2 linked regions of the Cricetulus griseus genome follow. The protein of the gene in region 2 interacts with the protein of the main gene of each other region in a biochemical or structural test. Links are inferred from orthologs where the notes say so. Each region holds a gene or a part of one and is shown on either strand. Other genes may lie near its edges. The genes, in order: Shh and Ptch1.

The links.
Region 1: the proteins of Ptch1 (region 2) and Shh are reported together in a solved structure, tested with the Homo sapiens proteins (5 studies listed by BioGRID and IntAct, with this or other methods). The link is inferred for Cricetulus griseus from reciprocal best matches to the Homo sapiens genes PTCH1 and SHH.

What each region holds. Positions count from the first base shown.
Region 1 is NC_048601.1:94,252,251-94,262,103, reverse strand, and holds the end of Shh (sonic hedgehog protein), read right to left. Parts: coding exon 9,585-9,853; intron 4,788-9,584; coding exon 4,526-4,787; intron 1,762-4,525; coding exon 1,004-1,761; downstream 1-1,003.
Region 2 is NC_048596.1:281,136,215-281,146,864, forward strand, and holds the start of Ptch1 (protein patched homolog 1), read right to left. Parts: upstream 7,129-10,650; coding exon 6,970-7,128; intron 6,413-6,969; exon of another isoform or gene 6,059-6,412; intron 5,405-6,058; coding exon 5,212-5,404; intron 4,727-5,211; exon of another isoform or gene 4,620-4,726; intron 1-4,619.

The sequences.
Region 1 (9,853 bases), on a different chromosome or scaffold from region 2:
TCTACTAACCACTGGGTGCGTGGCACACTTTATTTCTATAAAACTATTACAAAATATTCAAAAATACATTTTAGTAAATTTACAGCAGTTATTTCTCAGTTTATTAATGCAAAAACATCCTTTTATTCTCTGTACAAACTACAGGCTCCATCCTCGTGGGCTCACTGCTATGTGCGCTTTTAAAAAATATTATTTTCTAATAAATTCTTTAAAGTTAAAAATAACAGAGTTCTTCCAGTTTGTCAAAAAAAAAGTGTGTATGTGTGCATTAACAGTCTTGATTTCCAAGAACATGACCAAAGTGGCAGATACAAAGCAAATACAAACCATGAAGGCAGTACAGAAGACGGCTGTTACATTGGAAAATAGTTAAATTAAAATAATATATTTTCATATTTTACACTATTTCAAAAATGAAATGTCATTCAGTTAAGTATTGATCTCTCAAAAATCTAATTTACAATTCTGTGTATAAAAATATAATTTGTGGACCCCCATGGAGCATGTTTTAGTTTACACTTGCCGAAAAGCAGGACCCTAGCAGAAGAAGAATGCGGAGTTTTGCCTTCTGATGCGCAGGACGAGGGAGTATAGAAAAATAGACTCTCAGCAGGTTGCTTGGCCTCACAAAATAATCTTTCCCCCCCTGTGAGTACAGTTCACACGATAATAAATTATCCAAGACACAAACTAGTTAAGGCTCTTGAAGGTCCGTTCATATTATTTAAAACATCTATACCAAACAAATAAATAGCCAGGAGAGGAGAAAATAACCCAAATAAGACAATAACGAAAAAAATTCAAAAATACATATAAACTAAACACAACAACAGAACTCCCCGGGGTCTTTGCTTCCTTATAGCCTACTTTGGACTGTCCTACTTATTATTATTAATAATTATTATTCTTATAATTAAAAGTCTCCTTCCGGTTGCTTATCTCGAAGTCGCAGTGGCTCCCCGCCCCGCCCGCCCCCACACCCCCTGCCCAGTCCCCTCTGACTTCAGCTGGACTTGACCGCCATTCCCAAGGGATGCAAGGTCTCGCTGTCCAACAGCCAGGTGCCAATTTGGTAGAGCAGCTGCGAGTACCAGTGGATGCCCGAGGCCGGCCCTGAGCCCCTCGTCTCCGCTGCGGGTTGGGGTGCGGGGATGCTGCCCCCACCCCCGGCGTCCGTGCGGGCGGGCGCCAGCGCGGCCAGGAGCGCGTGCGCCAAGCGGAAGGGCGCGAAGGCCCGGTGTGCCCAGCCGTGCTCCTCGATGACTGCGTAGCACGAGGCCAGCACACGGTTGATGAGGATGGTGCCGTGCGCCGTCAGTGGCGCGTACGCGCCCGCGGCCTCCTCGTGCAGCGTCACGCTGTGCACCGCGGCTGGCAGCAGCCGGCGGTCCCCGCCGCGTTCGGCCACCACGTACACACGCTGGCCGGGGCGCACGCGGCTGGCGAAGAGCGCGTTGGGTCCGGGTGCGGGGCCCGCGTCTCCCGTATCGTTGTGCGGCGCCACGAAGAGCAGGTGCGCAGCGGTGAGCAGCAGGCGTTCGCGCGGCTCCCGGGTCTCGATCACGTAAAAGACTTTCTTGGCGCCTTCGTCGCGGTCCAGGAAGGTGAGGAAGTCGCTGTACAGCAGCCGGCCCTGGTCGTCAGCCGCCAATACGCGGTCTCCTGGACGTAGGTCCTTCACCAGCTTGGTGCCACCCTGCTCCAGGTGCACGGTGGCGGATCCCGGGAAGCAGCCCCCAGATTTGGCCGCCACGGAGTTCTCTGCAGGGAAGAGAGACGGGGTGTTGAGTGACAAAGGAGACAGGTACGCCCGGGGTGTTCACGTGCGTGTGCGTGTGCGTGTGCGTGGCCGTGCAGTCCCTGCCCCACTCGGCTCGACCAGGGGCGCGCGTGTGATGGGCAGGGGAGGCGTGTTGGCGGGGAGGGGGGCGGTGTCTCGTAGATCCTGACTGGTCTAGCACACACCGCCCTGCGCCAGCAATCCCAGCGACCCAGGGGCTGAATTCAGACGACCCTTCAAGACTGCACCGGCACCAGGAAAAGTTAGCTGGCATCTCCTGCAGGAGGCGGGGTGGGGGTGGGGGCGAGGGGCACTCCCAACTTTCCTTCTGCCTCCTGTCCCATCCCCCTCTCTTGCACCAGCCTCGCCGCGAACCCAGAAGGATATTTACTCTCCACTTGATTCCTCAGGAAGCCTCCTTGAGCTCGCGCGGGCGCCGGGCGCACCCTTCTCTCTCGCGCCCGCTCTCCCGCCCGCCCGCCCGGACCGCAGGGCGCGGCGCCTCCCAGTGCGCGGTGCGAGGAGGCTGAGCCTGGGGAACCCGGGCTCTCCACCTCACCCCCGCCTCTGGCTTCCCCAGTGAGGGCCTTGGTTGTTGGCCAGTGGATGGCCAGGGGGTGGGGAGCAAAAAATAGCTGTAGTCGTTGTAGCAACTGGACAAACATTCCAGAGGTTTGCCCGAGGTGTGAAAGCCCAAGACTTGTGTGGATTTTCTAATTAAAATCCAATAAAGAGCCGGGTATTGTCATTGTGATTTGTGGGACAAATAGGAGACAGCCTTGGAAGAGGGGGCACTTCCATTTCTCCCTCTTCCCCATTTCTCAGCTCACTCTCCAGCTCGCTGGCCGCCCCCTCCCTATTTGCTCAGGTGCAGCCCCCCTCCCCCTCGTGCAGTTCACACACAGGGACTCTCCAGAAGCCCGGGCCTCACAAGGCACTATTTGCACAGCCAGGCCTCTCTTCCAAGCACTCGAGATGTGTATTTGAATTTTAAATGGCCAGGCCTGCTCAGAGCTCTGGAAGCGCGGGTTCTCAAGGCCCCTTGACTACCCGCTTTACCCAGCCCTCAGTAGCTCTCGGAGGCTCACTGTCCCGGAGGACAATAATTGAGGATGGGGCGGAGCGCAGGGGGCCAGGGAGGAGGGGTGGGGAGGTCCCAGTCTTCTTTGCATTCCAATCTCCAGGATCATGCTTTTGGCAAATAGAGATTGCCAGAAAGAATCTTCCTGCTGGAATTACAGAAGGCTTTTAATCTTCTCATCGGTTTCTCCGGCATGAAGTGCGGGGCTGGCGGTTGGAAGCACTCCATAGCCCCCCGGAATGCGACCCCGGGCTCTAGCTAGCCGGAGTCCTCGAGTCGCACGACCCCGCTTGACACACAAGGCGCGGTGTCCCAGCCCGCGTGCGCAGAATGCCAATGAGCTGCCCTCCACGGCCGGGGCCGGCCGGGGTCTGCACTGCCTGCGAGAGACCCTCGGAGCCGGATTACCGCTGCTCATTTGGGAGATCCCCTGGGGACTCCCGCCAGAGGGGCTCCAGGAACCGGGGTGGCAGGGAGGCCTTGTGTGTCCAGCACAGACTTGAGGTCCAGGGAAGAGCTTCCTCAGAGCCTGGGTCACTGCCACCTGCGTTTCTCACCCTGGCCCGAGAGGAGTGCCCGCTCCAGGGGGGTTCCTGGAGCTGACACCTTCCAACAGGCCTTCCCGTCACCGCTCCTGCGCGCGTCCTAGCTAGTTTTTGTTGCCAGAGCTACACTTTTCTTTACCTAGTCAGTGTGTTTCTTGATGTTTAGTTTCCAGCTAGTATGTGTTGTTAAAATACACTTTGGGGAACTGGGGAGCGGGAGGGGGCGGGGCGGGGCGCGGCGGTGGGGGAGGACAGACCTTTACGTAAAAGTCACCATGAACTGCCCTGCCCGGGCCACACAATCCCTAGAGGCTATTGCATGTGTGTTGGCTGCCTGCCTCCCTAGCTGTTCCTCCCCGCAACAGAGTGTGGCGTTGCAGGCCCAGGGAACTCCGCCTCTGGCTGGGGAACTCGAACTGGCTGGGGGCAGCGGCTCCGGTGGGATCGCCTTAGGCAGTCTAGCCAGGGGCTTTCTGCATGCCAGCTGGGCTTCTAATAGGAACGGATGCTTCTGGGCTTGTGGCCTCCCGAAGTTGGAAGTAGAGTTTATTACTTCCCACCAGGTCTTTCCCCCACAGACTTAGCCAGTAAGTTAAGTTAGTTTTGAATCCACAGGAGCCCAGCGGGGAGGAGCCAGTACCTAGGTTTATGTCCTGGACAGCCCCTTCGGACCTTGGTGTGTGTGTGTGTGTGTGTGTGTGTGTGTGTGTGTGTGTATTGGGGGTGGTGGTGCTGGCAGTAGGTTAAGCCCTAGATGAGAGGGAAGACCAAGGTGAGCTCTGGCTAAACCAGGAGAGTCTTAGGACCCCCTTCCACAATGCTCTCTGACACCTATGTCTCTATTACCGAAGCAGGGGGTTCCAGAAACCACACAGTCTGGGAATCTGGACATGTAGAGATGCTGGCCAGTGACCTAAAAGGTTGCAGAGGTACCTGGCTGGGGTGCGGTGGTGGGGTGTCTGCCATAGGATATATCCCCACAACAGAAATCTACTCATTTTCAAGAGCGTTCCTCTCTTTTCATGGCTTTTATGCCCCTCCCCCTTTTCTTCCAGACCTTCTGGTGGGAATGGTTGGAGGTGGAGGGTGGTGCAGAAAGGCCACGGGAGACTTGCTTACCCGCTTTCACGGAGCAGTGGATGTGGGCTTTGGACTCATAGTAGACCCAGTCGAAGCCAGCCTCCACAGCCAGGCGAGCCAGCATGCCATACTTGCTGCGGTCCCGGTCAGACGTGGTGATGTCCACTGCTCGGCCCTCGTAGTGTAGAGACTCCTCTGAATGGTGGCCGTCCTCATCCCAGCCCTCAGTCACTCGCAGCTTCACGCCCGGCCACTGGTTCATCACAGAGATGGCCAAGGCATTTAGCTTGTCTTTGCACCTCTGTTGGGAGAAGGAGGAAGTCTAAGTGACAAATACCTTAGTTGGTAGTTTCTCTACCAACCACAGACCTGGGACCCTGGGGTGGAGGCATCGCTGCTGCAGGAGAGGCGGGTTCTCCAGGAAACCAGCTGAGGGCCTGTCTCCAAGGCAGAAACTTAGATGCAGCTACATGGCCAAGGAATAAGAGCAGCTTTTCCTTGAGTGGGATCCCAAGTGTATCTCTTTAGTGGGGCAGAACTTCTGGTGCACTTTAAGAACCGGAAACCCTGCATTATTTGTGGAGGCCAGGCCTGCCTGGCCTGAAGAAAGCCAAGGCAACACTGAGGGGTAAGAAGCAGCCCAAGGACAAGCAAGCAGGTGAATGCGGGTGTCCAGCACAGGCAGGGCCAGAGGACAAACATTCTTGGTTCAGGCAGCCACATTCTTTCCCCCAAGGAGCTCCTCTCTGCCAGGCTTGTCTGGGGCCTGATTGTATTCGTGTTTTCTTTGACCGGTTCTCTTCCTCCCCTCTTGTTTTCTTGGCCCTGCACAGAATGGTGTCCGGCAAGTTTGAAGAGCAAACTTAAGAAGTGAATGGGGGTGGGGTGGGAAAGGTAGGGGGATGGGGAGCCAGAAAGGCCCAAGGCTTCCGAGCTCTGCCCAAGAGGAGGTCGGCTGTGGAACTCATGTTACTCCACTCCTGCCTTGCAGGGCAAGGTGGAACTTGGGATAGTGGGGGGCACTCTTGGCCCACATTTTAAAAAAGGTGTAATAAAAGGGAAGGAGCTGAGTCCTGTGTGTGTGTGGGGGGGCAGGAACTCATTGCTTGGAAGTTTATGGTGGCATGTTGATTGGGGCTTTGTGGCTGGAGACAAAATGGCAAGGGCACATTACCCAGAGAACTGGACCCCAGTGGAGGCAGGGATGATTTCAAATTGACTTCTGCAGAGGGTAGGGCTGATCGCCCACAATCCCTTAGGCTGAGAGGATTTCGGGCAGGTTGCAGGGGTGGGAGAATGACCCCTAGATGACAGACTCTAACTGTAGCCAGGAGGACTCTTGAAAGGACTGTTGCCCAGGCCTTTGGGGACAGACAAAAGGAAAAGTCATGTATACCTGGCAGCAGTAAAGCCCAGGAATATGATTGTAGAGTTAAACACACAATAAATAGGAGGGGTGTAGTAACAACAGGTCCGCTCTGGCAGGTTTCTGGGCCTGCCAGCGGTTTTTCTTTAGGAGAAAAGTCCAAAGGACAGAGTTAGAGTGAGGTCACCTTAGGGACTGAACGCGTTTCACATGAAAATCAATAAGTAAACCTGGGTCAGTTTAAAACTGAGATTCGAAGTCACTGCGCGCAGGCGCACACCACGGTACGCGCAGCTTATCTCCTCCTTCATTCCTGCTCGTACTCCACCCGCTCCCTTCTCTCAGCAGGGGGAAGCCAGCGAAGTAGCTTTAACAAGCTGCCTATCCCGCAGCAGGGGCAAGCTAGGGTAGGTTGAAGAGGGCTCCGGAGCTGCACCACTAGGGCAGACGCGGAGAATCCCAGGCAAAGAACTCCGGGCAGAGATGGGCCCTCGACTCGGACAGGCCAACGCCGATTGTCGCCTGAGTTGGCACCCGGTGCCCCACAGCCCTCCCCCGCACCAGGCCCTGCGCGACTCTGCAGGCAGATGCAGGGTACTCCCCCGCCCGCACTGGGAGGGAATGTCGCAGGCAAAGCCTGGAAGCTCAGCCCGGTTATTAATTCATTGGGTCGTGTGCCGCTAATCAAGCCCGACTCTGTGCAGCCACCGTGAAGCCCGGCAGGGTCACTGGGGCCCGGCTTTGTGTCTGCGGAGGCCAAGTTGTTCCTGGGCCTCCAGCCCACCTCCCGGATCTGCACACCGGTGCAGTTCATGAGCGCAGAGCAGGCAGGGACTGTCACCTCCAAAAGTGGGCTTCCCACATTGTGAGAGAGGCGGTGACCCACTTCAAGAGACTGTACTTTCTAAACACACCCCACTCCGTTCTTCCCCTCACGGGGGCGGGGACAGACCCCACTCTTCAGATCCACACCTGGTCTCCTCTTCCCAGCTAGCACCGAAGCACGCAGGGGACGTATTCAGCCAGGTTCCTCAGGTGGTTCCCCCTCCCCACCTGAGCCGGCAGAGCCCTCAGATCAGGCCCCTCGCGGCCTCCCACCCCAGGCCCCCTGGCCATGGGCACAACAGCCTGGCACTCTCTGGGGCCTGGCCTGCGCAAGGAGAGTGTCTGTCTGCGCTTCCCTCTCTGGAGTTAATATTAACCAGGAGCTCCCGCGATCCAGAACTGCTCTGAAAGTTCCACTGGGGACGATCCTGCCATGGTTGAGGGACTTGGGCTCAGTCACCTTAGAGAGACAGACTGGGAGGCAGGCGAGACTGAAGAGAGGGCTCAAGAGGGGCTGGCCGATGGCAGGTTCCCAGGAGAATGCTCAAACCCTGAGCCCGAGATCCTCTGGTTTCACCCCTTCACCTCTAACCTTCCTCCCGTTCCCTCTCAACTCTGCCAACCCGGAATAAGAGGCTGGTGAGGGTTGTACCAAGGAGAACTTCCAGACTGCCACCTTTACAGCCATCTTCATCTTTTGGGGGGAATCTTTGCGGGGTGGGTGAGAAGATCCTGGCCTGGCCTTCCCCACCCCCACTTCTGCTTCTCTAGCCTTTTTGTGTTGGGAACCAGAATAGCCACTGCCCAAGGGAAAAAAGTATTTGTTTTCGTTTCGTTCGTCTGAAGGAACTTGACAGAAGGTCAGAAGTTCAAATGCTGCTCGCGCGCGCACACAGCGGCGGCGGCGGCGGCAGCAGCGAGAGTGACCCGGTGTAGGGCTGCTGGGCCTTGGGTCCCGGGCCAGGAGGACCGGAGTGAGGGAAGGGACGTAGCTGGGGGTTTCCGTTTAGGTCGCTAAAGCAGGAGGGGCCGAGAAGGCGGCAGAAGAGTTGCAGCCCAGGTCAGGCCCGCCGAGCTCCTTGCTCTACGACTCCTCCCAGCTCAACCCCAGCCTGCGCGCCGAAGGGAATGAGCGCGCTCGCTCGGAGCCCTGCGCTCCGGCGGGGCGCGCTCGGCGCGTGCAGAGTCAGGGACAAGCAGCCAGAGCCCGGCCCCGCGCGCGCTGAAACCCTAGCCGCGGGATCGATAACGCAGGAGTAAGTGGAGCTGAAAGGCGTCTGCCACGCCACACGGCTCGGCGCTCTCGCAGCTCTGCAGCACGCAGAGGCCCGGCTCGCTGGGCAAGGGAGCCCGCCTGGGAGCCCCTCGCAGACCCACCCGGGCCGAGGGACCTTGCGTGTGCTCAGCAGGCCTCTTTGCTTTAGCATCGTCTCCCTTAAGCGTTCCCAAGGACCTACTCGCCCTGAGATACAATCCCCCCGGAAAGGGGGGGGCGGGGAGCTGGGCAACCAGGGAATAAACGCCCGGGGCTGGCGGGAGAACTCGCTCCTGCAAGCTGCACCAGCCCGGCGCCCCGCGGCCCGCTCAGAGTTAACTGTGGCTCGTGCAGCTTCCCGGCTCCTGCGCGCGCGCCCACACTCGCGGTCCAGATTTAAGGTGGTCGGGAGCAGATGAGGGAGATGGGGCAGGGGAGAATGGCCCTGTCCTCTGTCTCCAAGACCCCCCTCTCCTTGCTCCAGCTCTGGCCTGCCACCCTAAGGCTAGTCTACTAGGCTTCTCAGCCAGCAGATACCTGGTAGCGAGCTGCGCGTCGCAGAGCAGGCAGCTCCACGCTCGCTCTCTCCAGCCCCCACCCCCTGCTCCTGTGCCCCGCCAGCGCCGCTCCACCAGCCGCTTGGCGCACCTAGCCCTAAAGGTAGGACTTGAATATTTTAATAGGGCAGTAAAAAGGATGCTGACCTATATTTGCAAGGAAACCCATTTCCAGCTTCAGTCCTACGTGCATGGAGTTTCAGAAAGTCTTGATTTGGCTGGGAGATTGACAGCCTAGAAATCTCAAAGGAGGTGGGATGAGAAAGAGGATCATATTTTGCTTTGCCCTATGTCCATCCACCCTCGCCGCTACTAATATCTATTTATTCTCTTCGAATTCTTATGCAAGCAGGTTGAAAATTAAAGCGATTGCAAAACCAGCAAGTTCCAAGTCCCTCCCCTAAGGTACCGCGGGCTCTGGAGAACAGAGGAGCATCCTTAAAGAAATATCAATACATTCCCCCTGATCGGCACAATTGGGGACGACGGATCGCAGTCAGGCTATGGGATACAGTGGGGACAAGGCGAGCGCCCCCGGAGCTCCTGCCTTTTGTCAGAATTGCCCCCTGGCTTTCCCAGTTAGAGTTCTTTGGTGGTGGCAGCGTAAAGGGTGGGGGTGGTCTTGGGGAAAAAAAAAAAAACAGAAAAGGGAAAAGTAGGAGCTAGGAGCTGGAATGCTCCAGGGTGTGTTTGTAATGCCCTGGAGGCCCCTTGAAGTGTAAAGGGGCATCCCCATTCCCTCTATTTTCCGTCCCCGCTTGGAAAAGGCAGATACCCCCAGAGTGAAGGTCTCTCCAAGTTACAAGCTAGAATAGACACAGATAGAGGAGGCCACCCCGGAGACTAATTAAATGAGGGACGAAGCGAACCCCATCTTCTGGTGCCCCCACTCCACCCAAACCCTAAACTTCCTGCTGGACCCTTCACCTCCTTTCTCCTCCCGGAAGAGGAGTGCTAGGTGGGCAGGTGGGTGGGGAAGGAGAGGGCCAAGCCGCCTTCCTACCTGCCCAAAGAGCAAACAGCAGGGCTGACTGCTTGGTCACACGCAATCCCCCAGGGGAAGGAGACTGTTTCCCACCCGCAGTGGGTCTCTACCTGAGTCATCAGTCGGTCTGCTCCCGTGTTTTCCTCATCCTTAAATATGATGTCGGGGTTGTAATTGGGGGTGAGCTCCTTAAATCGCTCGGAGTTTCTTGTGATCTTCCCTTCGTATCTGCCGCTGGCCCCTAGGGTCTTCTCGGCTACGTTGGGAATAAACTGCTTGTAGGCTAAAGGGGTCAGCTTTTTGGGGTGCCGCCTCTTTCCAAACCCCCTACCGGGCCCGCACGCCAGCCCGGGGCACAGCAGCAGCGAGGAAGCGAGGA
Region 2 (10,650 bases):
TGCAGCCGGTGCTGGAAGTGACAGCAGTAGAACATGAGAATCCTAGGGGCAGCGTGATTTTTAGGGATAATCCCCTCACCCCCCCCCCACTGCCTTAAATTGTCAAAAAACAGTGTTGCTAAGAGATAAAAGACTTTTGTGCAAAATGGCTCCCATGAAATCTGGTCTCCTTCAAAATAACTGAAAACTCTTGTATTTCAGGGCCCTGACACATCACCTCCTGAGCTGAGCACAGTCTTTAGGGGCTCACTCTCAGGTACTCACCATGTTGGAGGCAGCCACAAGAAGGCCCTCTCTATCCAAAAACCCCTTTCTCTACAGAACATGGGCACCCCCCCCCCAGCAAGAGAAATTAAGCAAGAGCAAGTAAGTACCACCTCACCCCAAGTGGACAGGGCCCCAGGGGTCACAGGCAGGTCAGCACTGAAGGAGAAATCCAAATGAAATATAAACACGGTATTGTGGAAAGCAGACCAATCTCCCCAGCTCTCCAGCCAGCATTAATCTCGGCATCAGCTGTGGTGCATAACCTAAACACACAGACCAGGCGGCTCATACATCTGGAAGCTGTCATCTCCTGGAAGCTCCAAGCGGCGCTGGATGCATCTGAAACAGCCCATGACCCAAACTGGCTTATGAAAGAACTTCTTGGTGGGTCGAGAATGGTGGGCAGCCCAGAGATGGGGTCAGGGCTCACCAGCTACCCCCCTTTGTGAGGAATACCTGAGCCACCTGCTCATTTTTTTCAAGCAGTTATTGGCGGCTTTTACTTGTCATTCATCTTTTCTCTGAGAAGAAAAGGAATACCAACAACTTGGTTGCAACCCTTTCCTGTATGTACACTTGCTCTTTGAATAACCATACTTGTTCATCAAACTGTGCAGACACACACATACACAGTGGTGCCTTTGCAAACCCAATTAGACTGGCAAAGCACAGGTCTCCTACCCAGGCATTTATCATCCAATGGGGCATCTAACAATGAATGTGAATATGCTGACCTGAGGAGCACAGTGCGGCTGGGACCCAGTGGGTAGAACCCGAACACCCTATGGGGTGCAGGGCCTCTCACAGTGGAGGATCACACAGACCCAAATGGCAAGAGTGCAAAGGCTGAGTGAGGAACTGAAGGATGATGGCTCTAACTGTGCAAAGTACACAGAAAGCACACAGCACAGACTTGACAGTGTGATTGCCCATCAAATAAGCATTTTTTAAAAAGCAAAAATCTTCTATTCCTCTTTAATAAATTCTCATCCTCTCTCCACCCCCATACTGGCCTTACAGCCCTTAATAACCAAACACCAGAGCAATATGGAGTCATTTCAAGGTTGTTGCCCTTTTCAGAAAAGAGGGCCAGGCGCTGGCTAAGCTTTTATCTTGGGGAGATAAATGAAGATTCTGTCACAGGAGTACCTTGACAACAAACTTGTGACAGAGAGCTGGAGGGGAGGGAGGGAGTATGCAAAGGGAAGCAGATATTAAGGAGAGCAGGAGGGCAGATTGGCTAAGTCAAAAGAAATACCATTGAGAAATGGGCACAGTTTAAAAATAAATAACAAACAAACAGCCAGTTCCCTTCAGCACCCTGAGAAGCAAATGCAAACACTTCTGGTATCAGGAAGGGTACCAGGAGTTAATTAAGAATCACAGATCCAGGGCAGCATCTTGAAGAAAGAGCCTGCAGGCCCCTCCCAGACCTTCCAAGCCACCAGATGCCCAACCCCCACTTCATTCACTCTGTCACTGGAAGGTTAATACTGAAGGCCACCCACCCAACCACACACACACACATACAATTTTTGAGCCTTCATCCATCCTCTTCTTTCTGCCTAGAATGTCCCTCACCTCCACCTTCCCAAGTCCGGGACCATCCAGAAATCCCAGCTGATTTCCCTAACAACCTGGCAATTAACCATCTATTGACTCATCTATAGACTGTCACCACCCTTTTTCTCAAGAGTTTTGGACAAAGTGCCTGGTGCAAAGTAGGCACAGAGAACTCACACTGACCAAATACTCTCCTTGGAAAAAACAAAACAAACAAAAAACATTTGTGACTCTTGTGTTTATGTGACAGTAGGTCCCCAACGACACCAACGTCTTTATCAAACCTTTTTGGTCCATTCACAAGTAAGCTCTTGTTGACATCTGTGACATGCAAAAAACAATCAGGTTGGCACCTCACAAACAACGGGCAGTGTCTTGAAAGGCAATCATTAAACCAGCATCTTAACAGAATCAAACGTTATCACTTATGCGTGCATAGGCGGTGTGTGGTGTGTACCTGTGAGCAGGGCGGGAGCAAGGGAAACAACGGCTTCATCTTTGTGGTGAAGCCACATTTCTTCAGGAAGCCATGAAGTCAAGGCTGTGGAGGAGACTCCTGCATTTCCTGAAGATATGTATTTTGGCAGACAGAGTGCTCGTGCACAGACGCACATACAAGCACAAAGGCAACTCCTCACAGGCGAAATAGCAGCCTTTCTAAACTGTCTTCCTCCTCTCTTATAATCTGTCTTTCCTCCCTTCTTATGCTTAACTGGGGACATGAGAGACCTCTCCTCATCTTGTTGGGGCGCACAGCAAACTCTCGGCTCCTATAATCACACCCAGGACCTGGAGGAAGCATCAGGTAGCAGATGACTTTGCTAACAGTGATGAAGAACTTATCTAAGAGACTGAAGCAAAGATGGAACCCAAACTTGGGCCTACTGCTCACTGTAATTCACTGACCTCCAGTGCCACCCATAGCCACTGGCATTTATTCCGAAAAGCAAAGGCTCACAGAGTAACACTAAATTCCATAGGCCATAAACAAGACCTCCAGTTACTGTGGCATTGGGTTCCCCACATCCAGTTTAATCTATGAAACTTGTTTCCTGTAGAAGGAAATCAAGAAATAAGTGAATGAGGAGGCCAAGGCAACCCTAGACTAAAGACCTAAACCAATGGTAGGAAAAGTGAACAGGAATGACAATGTGGATGACCACTCCCAGTCATTATCTGAAAGGGTCTTGGTACGTCTGTTATACGGAACATCATATAGATATATACGATCATGTTACAAAAAATTAAAGTAGTAGGTACTTTACTAAGTAAAGGCTTGCAAAAAATACATACTACCTGGAGTATGGTGGTTGCTCAAAAGCATTAAGTGTTCCCAAGAGCAATGAGCTGTACTAAAATGCCAATGCAGGAAGGAGCTAAGATCTGAGCCTGGAGTTGGGGAGTTGGAGTGGCTCAGAGAAGGAGGGTTTGCCTATCATGCTGGTACCCCAGGTTATCCCCTGTATTAGCTGGGGGGAGGGGTCCTTAAGATGCCAAAAGCAGGCCAGGGTGTGTCCTAGCCTAGTAGGGCGTGTCCCCCTCACTGAACACCTTCCCACTTAACCTGGAGTCCCTCTTCATAACTCTCCTGTCATTCTTGAAACAACTGCTCCAACTACTAAAAACCAAATCGTTGCATGGTCACTGGTGTAGAAAAATCCTACTGTGGACCCTGGAACTCGGCTTCTACACTGCAGGGTCTTTCCCCGGTCTTGCAGGCAGTGGCCTGTTCTACTGCAACACCCTCTTGCCTCTTGTCTCTCCAGTACCCCAGCCTGCCTCAAGACCTCCACTAAAGTCTCTTTTCTCCTAATTTAATTTTCATGGACCAGCTCAAGTGTAAATCTAAATCCAATGAAAATGCACTGGATTCCAGTAGGCTGAGGCACAGGGCACTGGCACTGGGCAGTGTCTCCTATCACAGTATAGAAACTCAGGAAATTTGTTGCTAGGGGACTAGTGGGTGCTCAATAAAACTATTCCCTGAACTACCAATGACAAGGAAGCAAAGTGGAGTAAATTACCTAATGGAATCAATCCAAAAGACACTTTTGTATTCATTAACCAAGCTGCTCAAGGCAGGAATGCGTTCTGCTTTTAACGATTGGGATTATTATTTTAATTGTCACTTTTCAACTATTATTTTAATTGTCACCTTTCAACTAAATACTCCACCACTAGTTTGCAAAACACCAAAAGGGGAAGGTTCTGGAAGGTTAGTTTCCAAGACCATCCTGAGGAATTACTCAAAAACTCCGCTTTCCAAGTTCTGTCCTGGGTGGTAGATAAGCACCAGATATTTGGGGTTGAAACATCTGCCCAAAGCAGTGTTTGCCAGAGGCTAAAATGTTTTCAAATAAGGGATTGATACTTTTAAAAGAAATAACTGAGAAACGACCAACGAAGAAGAAAAGGAAAAGAAAGTCTATGATCACAAAGGACGTAAAAGCATTCATGGTGGTGGGGGTAGGGGGAACCGGAGAACCTATTTTCAATTTACAAGTCCTTTTCTAAAGCAGGTCCCCAACCCCCCAAATCGAAGAACGTGGATAAAAGACCGGCACACACACCCCAGGGGGAGCTCCCGTCGCCCCTCCCATCAAACCTGCATTCTTTAAAAAAACACATTTCTTTCTTGCAAGACTGCCAAACACAGCCTCCCCCCGAATAATTCCATTTAAAAAGTCCCCATCCGCGAGGAAACATTAATCTACTTTGCAAACACGCTTTCCAGTTTGTGCTTTACTATTTTTTCTTCAATCCCCCCACCGCCCCCTTTTTTTTTGTACCTTGAGACAAATGTTTTTTTCCCCCAGAGTTGAAAGCTGTCCAAAAACAGGACCACACACGCGGCCGCCTCCGCAGGCCTGCGCGGCGCCCGCCCCCCGCGCGCCCCGGGGGCGCGCACACTCCCTGCAGCTAGAGGGGTGGCCTTGCCCTCCACCCCCTCTCCTTTCTCCGCAGACGCGGTGGGTGGGTGGGGGGAGGGAAGGAAGCCTATCCCAGCATCCCAGATCCAAGAGGCCTTCCTCCGGCCGCTGGCACCCTGGCCAGAGCCAGGCGGGCGGAGCTGGCGGACCTCAGGGACCACCCCCCTTCGGCCCTGCCGAGTGGTCCGTCCCGCGCAGGGGCCTCGCGCCCCCGCCACTCTCTCCCACCACACCTAGCAAGGCGCAGCGCCCCGAGTAGATTACAGCGAGGCCTTTGTCGGGCGGGCCTGGCTGCAGGCCAGGCATGCAAACAATAAACAGTCGCCCCTGGTGCGGGCAGGGGCTTCGCTGGCCACGGCGAGGCTCTAGGTGCAGGCTGGCAAATATCTTTATCAAACACTGGGAAGGGAAGGAAGACAGAGGACGCGCCAGCGGCGCCGGGGTCTCTTACCTTCCACCCACAGCTCCTCCACGTTGGTCTCGAGATTAGCTGCCTTTAATCCCACAGCGAAGGCCCCAAATATGAGGAGACCCACAACCAAAAACTTGCCGCAGTTTTTTTGAATGTAACAACCCAGTTTAAATAAGAGTCTCTGAAACTTCGCTCTCAGCCACAGCGGTGCTTTCCGGCCGGTAGCCTTCCCCTGGGGACGAAGCAGAAGGGAGGAGTGAACGCCCGGGAGTCGCTAACGGCGGCGCACACCCGCCTGGGGATCCCCCCCCCAACAGTGGGGGGCGTGGGCGGCCGTGGCGCAGGGACTTGCCCTCGGGGCTGGAACCAGGACTAGTCAGAGGGAGCCCTGGAGGCGTGGGGGACTAGGTTGTAAATTAGAGCGAGGCTGCAGCGTGAGAACTGCACTCTAGGTACCACGGGGTATCCCCACGCATGGCCTGAGCACTTTCCTGAATGAGACTTGGGGTGCTGGGGAGAGAGGCTAGCAGAGGAACCGCCAAAGACAGGCAGGCACTAGTATCGAGGACCTGGAGAGAGAGGGCCTGAGTGATCCTAGCTGAGAAGCCCAACACTAAACCACCAGGCCACGACTGCCCCCTTGCCCTAAATCCGGCTCCAGCCTTTGGCCTCCTTGGGTACCCCGGAGGGCGGGTGAAGAGCGCAAGCACACTTAGGGACAATATAAAGCTACCGTGGCCCACCTGGCCCCCGGCCTGGCGGGTGGTTGCACGCGGGGGTCCACGTGGTGAGCCCGGCAGCCGGGTTCACTCCACACACTTTTCCACGGCCTTGGGAGACTCCGCGGGAGCTCAGTTAGGAAGTGCAGCAGCCATCTGCAACTTACACTATTTGTGCTCTGAAGAGGGCGGCCATAAGGATCTTTCCCTCCTCTCCCACTCCCTCCTGGTGAAATCTTTTAAAAAAAAAACAGCCGAGTATACGGGGAAGAGGCCCAGGCTGGCGCCGGCGGGGGTCCTGACTAGGCGCAGGCTGCTGTCGGGATGGCGGAGCCCTGGTGCTGGCCAGGGCCCCAGCGGGCCCCAGGCTAGGTGCTCGCCTTCCCTGGATTCCACACATTTCAGCCAGCCTCGTAAACACAATGAACCCGGCCGTTCCTCACACCAGCACCGAAGATTTAAGGTGGCAACTTGTTTACAACTGCCCTTCTCCCCGGCAGGCTGGGAGAAGAGGCGGCCCAAAACCTGGAAGAGAGGGGACGTCCTCTCCCGAGAATAATTTTTAAGGGAGCAGAGATTTCAAGCTCAAGGAAAGCAGAACCGGCTGCCAAAAAAGGAAACCACCTTTACTTTGGCTCCCTCCCCTCTGCCTCTCTCCGCCTCTCTCCACTCCGCCTCCACCACGAAGAGGTTAAGAAATGTGGCAACGCGGAGGTTTACGCTGCAACGGAGGCAGGGGCGCGGGTGAAGGGCGCTGAGGCCGGGGGCAGTGCTGCACTGCGGCCGCCCTGGAGGTGGTCCACTCAGGACGGTTTCCAAAGCTCCGGAAAAGGCACACCAGGGAGGGCGTGTGCGCGCGCACACACCACACACGCACACACACACGCACGCACGCACCCCTCCACCCCCTGCGGACCTCAGACAGCCCTTTCCTCCGAAGTCCGGAGGGAGGGTTTGAAATTTTCAACCTTCACTTGTCTTCTGCTTTCTCAGGAGGGTGTCTGTGTGCGTGTGTGGCAGGGATCCCAAAGAGGAAGAAGAGGGAAGAGTGGAGGAGGAGGAGGGAACAGACATGCACCTTGGAAATCTGCTCCAGAGCGAAGGCGGCGTCGCAGTAGCTGGGCCGGTGCAGATAGTCCCGGTCCGGCGCGGCGCGATGCGGTCCCCCGGTCCGTCTGCGCCTCCCGCCGCCGGCCTGCCTGCCCAGGGCCCCGGCGGCGTTACCAGCCGAGGCCATGTTGCCGCCGCCGCCGCGGGCTCCGGGCGCGCCTGGGCGCTCGGCTCGCGAGGACGCTGCTGGCCGCCGGGGACTCCGGCTCCGGGTGACAGACCCGCTGCTGCCGCTCACACGGCGGGCGCTGCGGGTGCTGCGGCCGTGGCCGATGCCGGGGACTCAGACCCTGCGCCTTCCATTGCCACATTGCGCGTGAGTCCCGAGGTCTCTGCGGCCGCTGCTGCCCACATCCAGCTCGCGGGAAGGCGAGAGCCGGCGCTTCCAGGGCGCGCCTCGCGGTCCCCAAGTCCCCCCAGACGTCCCCGCCCCGCGCCGCGACCCCTTCACGGCAGAAGGCGCGCGCAGACCCCCGCCACTCGCTCTGGGTCCCTAGGCGCCCGCTGCCGGCGACGCGACGGTGTCCGGCGGATCTCAGCGATGCCGGGCCGGGGCAGCCGCTGCCCCCGCTGCTGCTGCTGCGGCTGAGGTTGGCGGTGGCGGCTTCTGAAGCGGCTGCTCGTTCTCGGACTGCTGGGTTCGCGGTGGCTGCTCGGTCCCGGACTCTGCTTTCTTGTTCTCCTCACCGACCCGCTGGACCATTCTGCCCCCGCGCTGCGCGCCTCTCTCGCTCCCGGGACCTGGGGACTCCGCTCTGTGTGTGTGCAGCGGGCAGCGGCCGCAGCAGCTCCTTGACTCAATAGATGAGATGGAAGAAGAAAAAAAAGAACTCTCTCCATTTGGAGAAAGAGGAGGAGGAGGGGAGGGGGTGGAGGGGGAGAGAGCGAGCGAAAGAGAAAAAGGCTGGAACTCCCGCCCCCGGGGCTGTCAGATGGCTTGGGTTTCTGCGACGCGATTGGCTCGCGGAGGGCAGAAATTACTCAGCAAACATGACTATTATTAGCTGCTTAGCAACAGCTCACCAAAGTAGAGAGACCACCCAGGTAGGCAACCCCCGTGTGTGCATCCCCGGCTTGGGGGGGGGGGAGGACGGACTCGCTCTGCGCCAACCTTCTCTCATGCAATACTTCCATTAAGGAATGCTCCCCTCCTTTCTTTCTTATTTCTTTTCTTTTCAACAGTGTCTTCTTTTTGTGAGACGTCTTTTGCGAGCGCGCGCGCAAACACACACGCACACGTTCACACATACAGGAGCATTTGCCTCGCGATAGACACGGGGGATATGTAATTTTTTTTTAAGCGCTTAAACAATTTCTGAGATTCCTCAAAGAAAACCCTTTTAGAGACATTTTGGCCTCAAGCAGCAGCAAATACTGGGAGGTCCGCCTTGAATTCCCAGGCCTCCACCAATAATGACAGGGCGGTGGATAGTGCGCCCGTGTGTGCCAATTTTTTTTTTCCTCCTCTTTTCTTTTATAACCAAAGGCAAGACTTAGACTCTCGCAGGGAACAACGCCTCGTATTAAGATAAACAAAATGGAAAGTTAAAGAGGAGAGCAAGAATGTTGGGAAAAGCCACCCTTTTTTAAATCCCCTAGCACCCCCCCCGCAAAAAAACCAAACATACACAAAAGCACAGTCCAATTTGAAAGAGTTTGTAAAGAGAACTCATAGACTCGTAGAAGTAGAGGCTTTTAAAATTTGAATCTGTAACATATATTTAAATTGGTATGTATATATATATATACCAGTCTCAGCAGCCCAGAGAAATGGAATTGAGAGATTTCCAGATTATTTGGGTTTCATCTGGACCCCCACTTTTAATTAATCACATTCTTAAATAAAGTCAGTTTTAGGCTTTTAAAAAATAAAACTCGGTATGCATCCTGTAATGTTTAATAGTGTGACGTAGGAGAGAATAAAGGCTTTGATGTCGGATTCATTTGAAACAAATTGTGCACAGATCGCGAGGGTTTGTCCCGATATTGCTTCCAGTGTCGCCAAGACATCCCTGGGATTGGCTTTACGTTGAACAAAAATCATGCGACCTTCACAGGAGGGGGGGGTCGGCTGGGTGTCGTGGAGCCAGAGACAAATTAAACTGTCTGCACAACTATACTCTTTAAGGAGGGGGGGACCACTGAAGAAAGCACATTCCATTTTCAATAAGTTTTCAAGTTCCTCCCTACAGCAGACACCAGACCCAGAAGCACTGGGTTCTGCGGCATCCTCTTACATTTCTTCTCCCACTTGAACTGCAGAGGGAACTGGAGTGGTGAGAAGCCAACTGGAGCCGTGAAATGGGGCGGTGTGGCTTTAAGATGCACACGGTGTGTGTTCATTGAAAAAAAAAATAAGAAGAAAAGGAAAGAAAGAAACCCAGATGGAGGGAAAGGGGGAGGAGCGGGGGAGAAGGCGGAGCCTGCTCCGCCACGTGACCCAGACCCAGAGGCCTGTCCGCGCGCACGCGTTATCGCTCACGCGCACGCGCGCTCCGGTCTGGGGCCTGCGCGGGGCGCGGGCGCAGCAAGTAACCGGGTCGGCCCGCTGGGGTTGCGCGCCCCGAGCCCTTCACGCCGTTCGCACCGCCTTCCCGGGCCCTAAGCGGTGTGCGCGCTTGGCCGGCGCGGACAGACGTGCCGGACACGCCGTAGTACATTCTTGAAGGCGGCCCGGCCCCCTCGTGCTGCCCAATGCGCGCACGGCCTCCCTGCTGACGACCAATGGCTGCGCTTCGGCCCTTCCATTCAGTGGCGCAGGCGGCGGCTAGGCAGGGGCGATGCAGGGGTGCGCGGCCACCGGCGGTGCACGCGGCTCGGAGGTGGGGAGGGGGGACTTCCCCTCCCACCGCGTTGCAGTCTTTGGTCGCTGCCTAGGCTGCCTCTCCTTTAGCCTTATCTCTTTCCGGGCTTTCCTAGAACTCTTAGCCATCTCGAATCCCAAACGCATAAAACCTGTGCGGTTCCTGAAGCCGAGTGGTGAATCTGAGAGAACAGTGACAGAGTAGAAGCGTTTGGGGGTGCTCACAGGATAAGGAACAGGACCTGGGGGCCAGCGCGGAAATTCAAAATTCCTAACACCAGGGAGCACGTGATTTTCCAACGACTGAGTTTCGGAAGTGCAGCTGAAAAATCTTGTAGGGAAGGCACGCAGGGTGAGGGGAAGGACACTCTTAAAAGAGAGCAAAGCGCTGGAGGCAGAGCTGTTAAGCCTGGGAGTAAAATCCTTCTCTCTTGACAGTTTGGTTATCAGCAGAAAGCAGAAAAGGCTGGACCGCTACTTTAGCTTTCACATTTCGTACTCTTGGAAATTGGACTGTTTTCCGGATCTTGAGGGTGACACCCCGAGTTCAAAGGTCAGACTGATTTTAAATTTGAAGCTGGCCCTAAATATGGCAGGCAGGTAACCACATAGCCCTATGAAAGCTGTCTTTCAAATTCCTTACAATGTTTTACTCCTAAGCATTTGCTGCTCCTCCCGCCACCCCCCAGGTTTTTTTGTTATTGTTGTTTTGTTTTTTGTTTTTTTACTTCTTTGGTTGCAGTATAGCCGTTTGGATTCTGGGATTCTAGGATGAAACTATAGTCTAGCTATGCAAAGCCTCTTCCACTCGGGCGCTTTTCTCTCGGTTTGACTTAATTCTTAAAC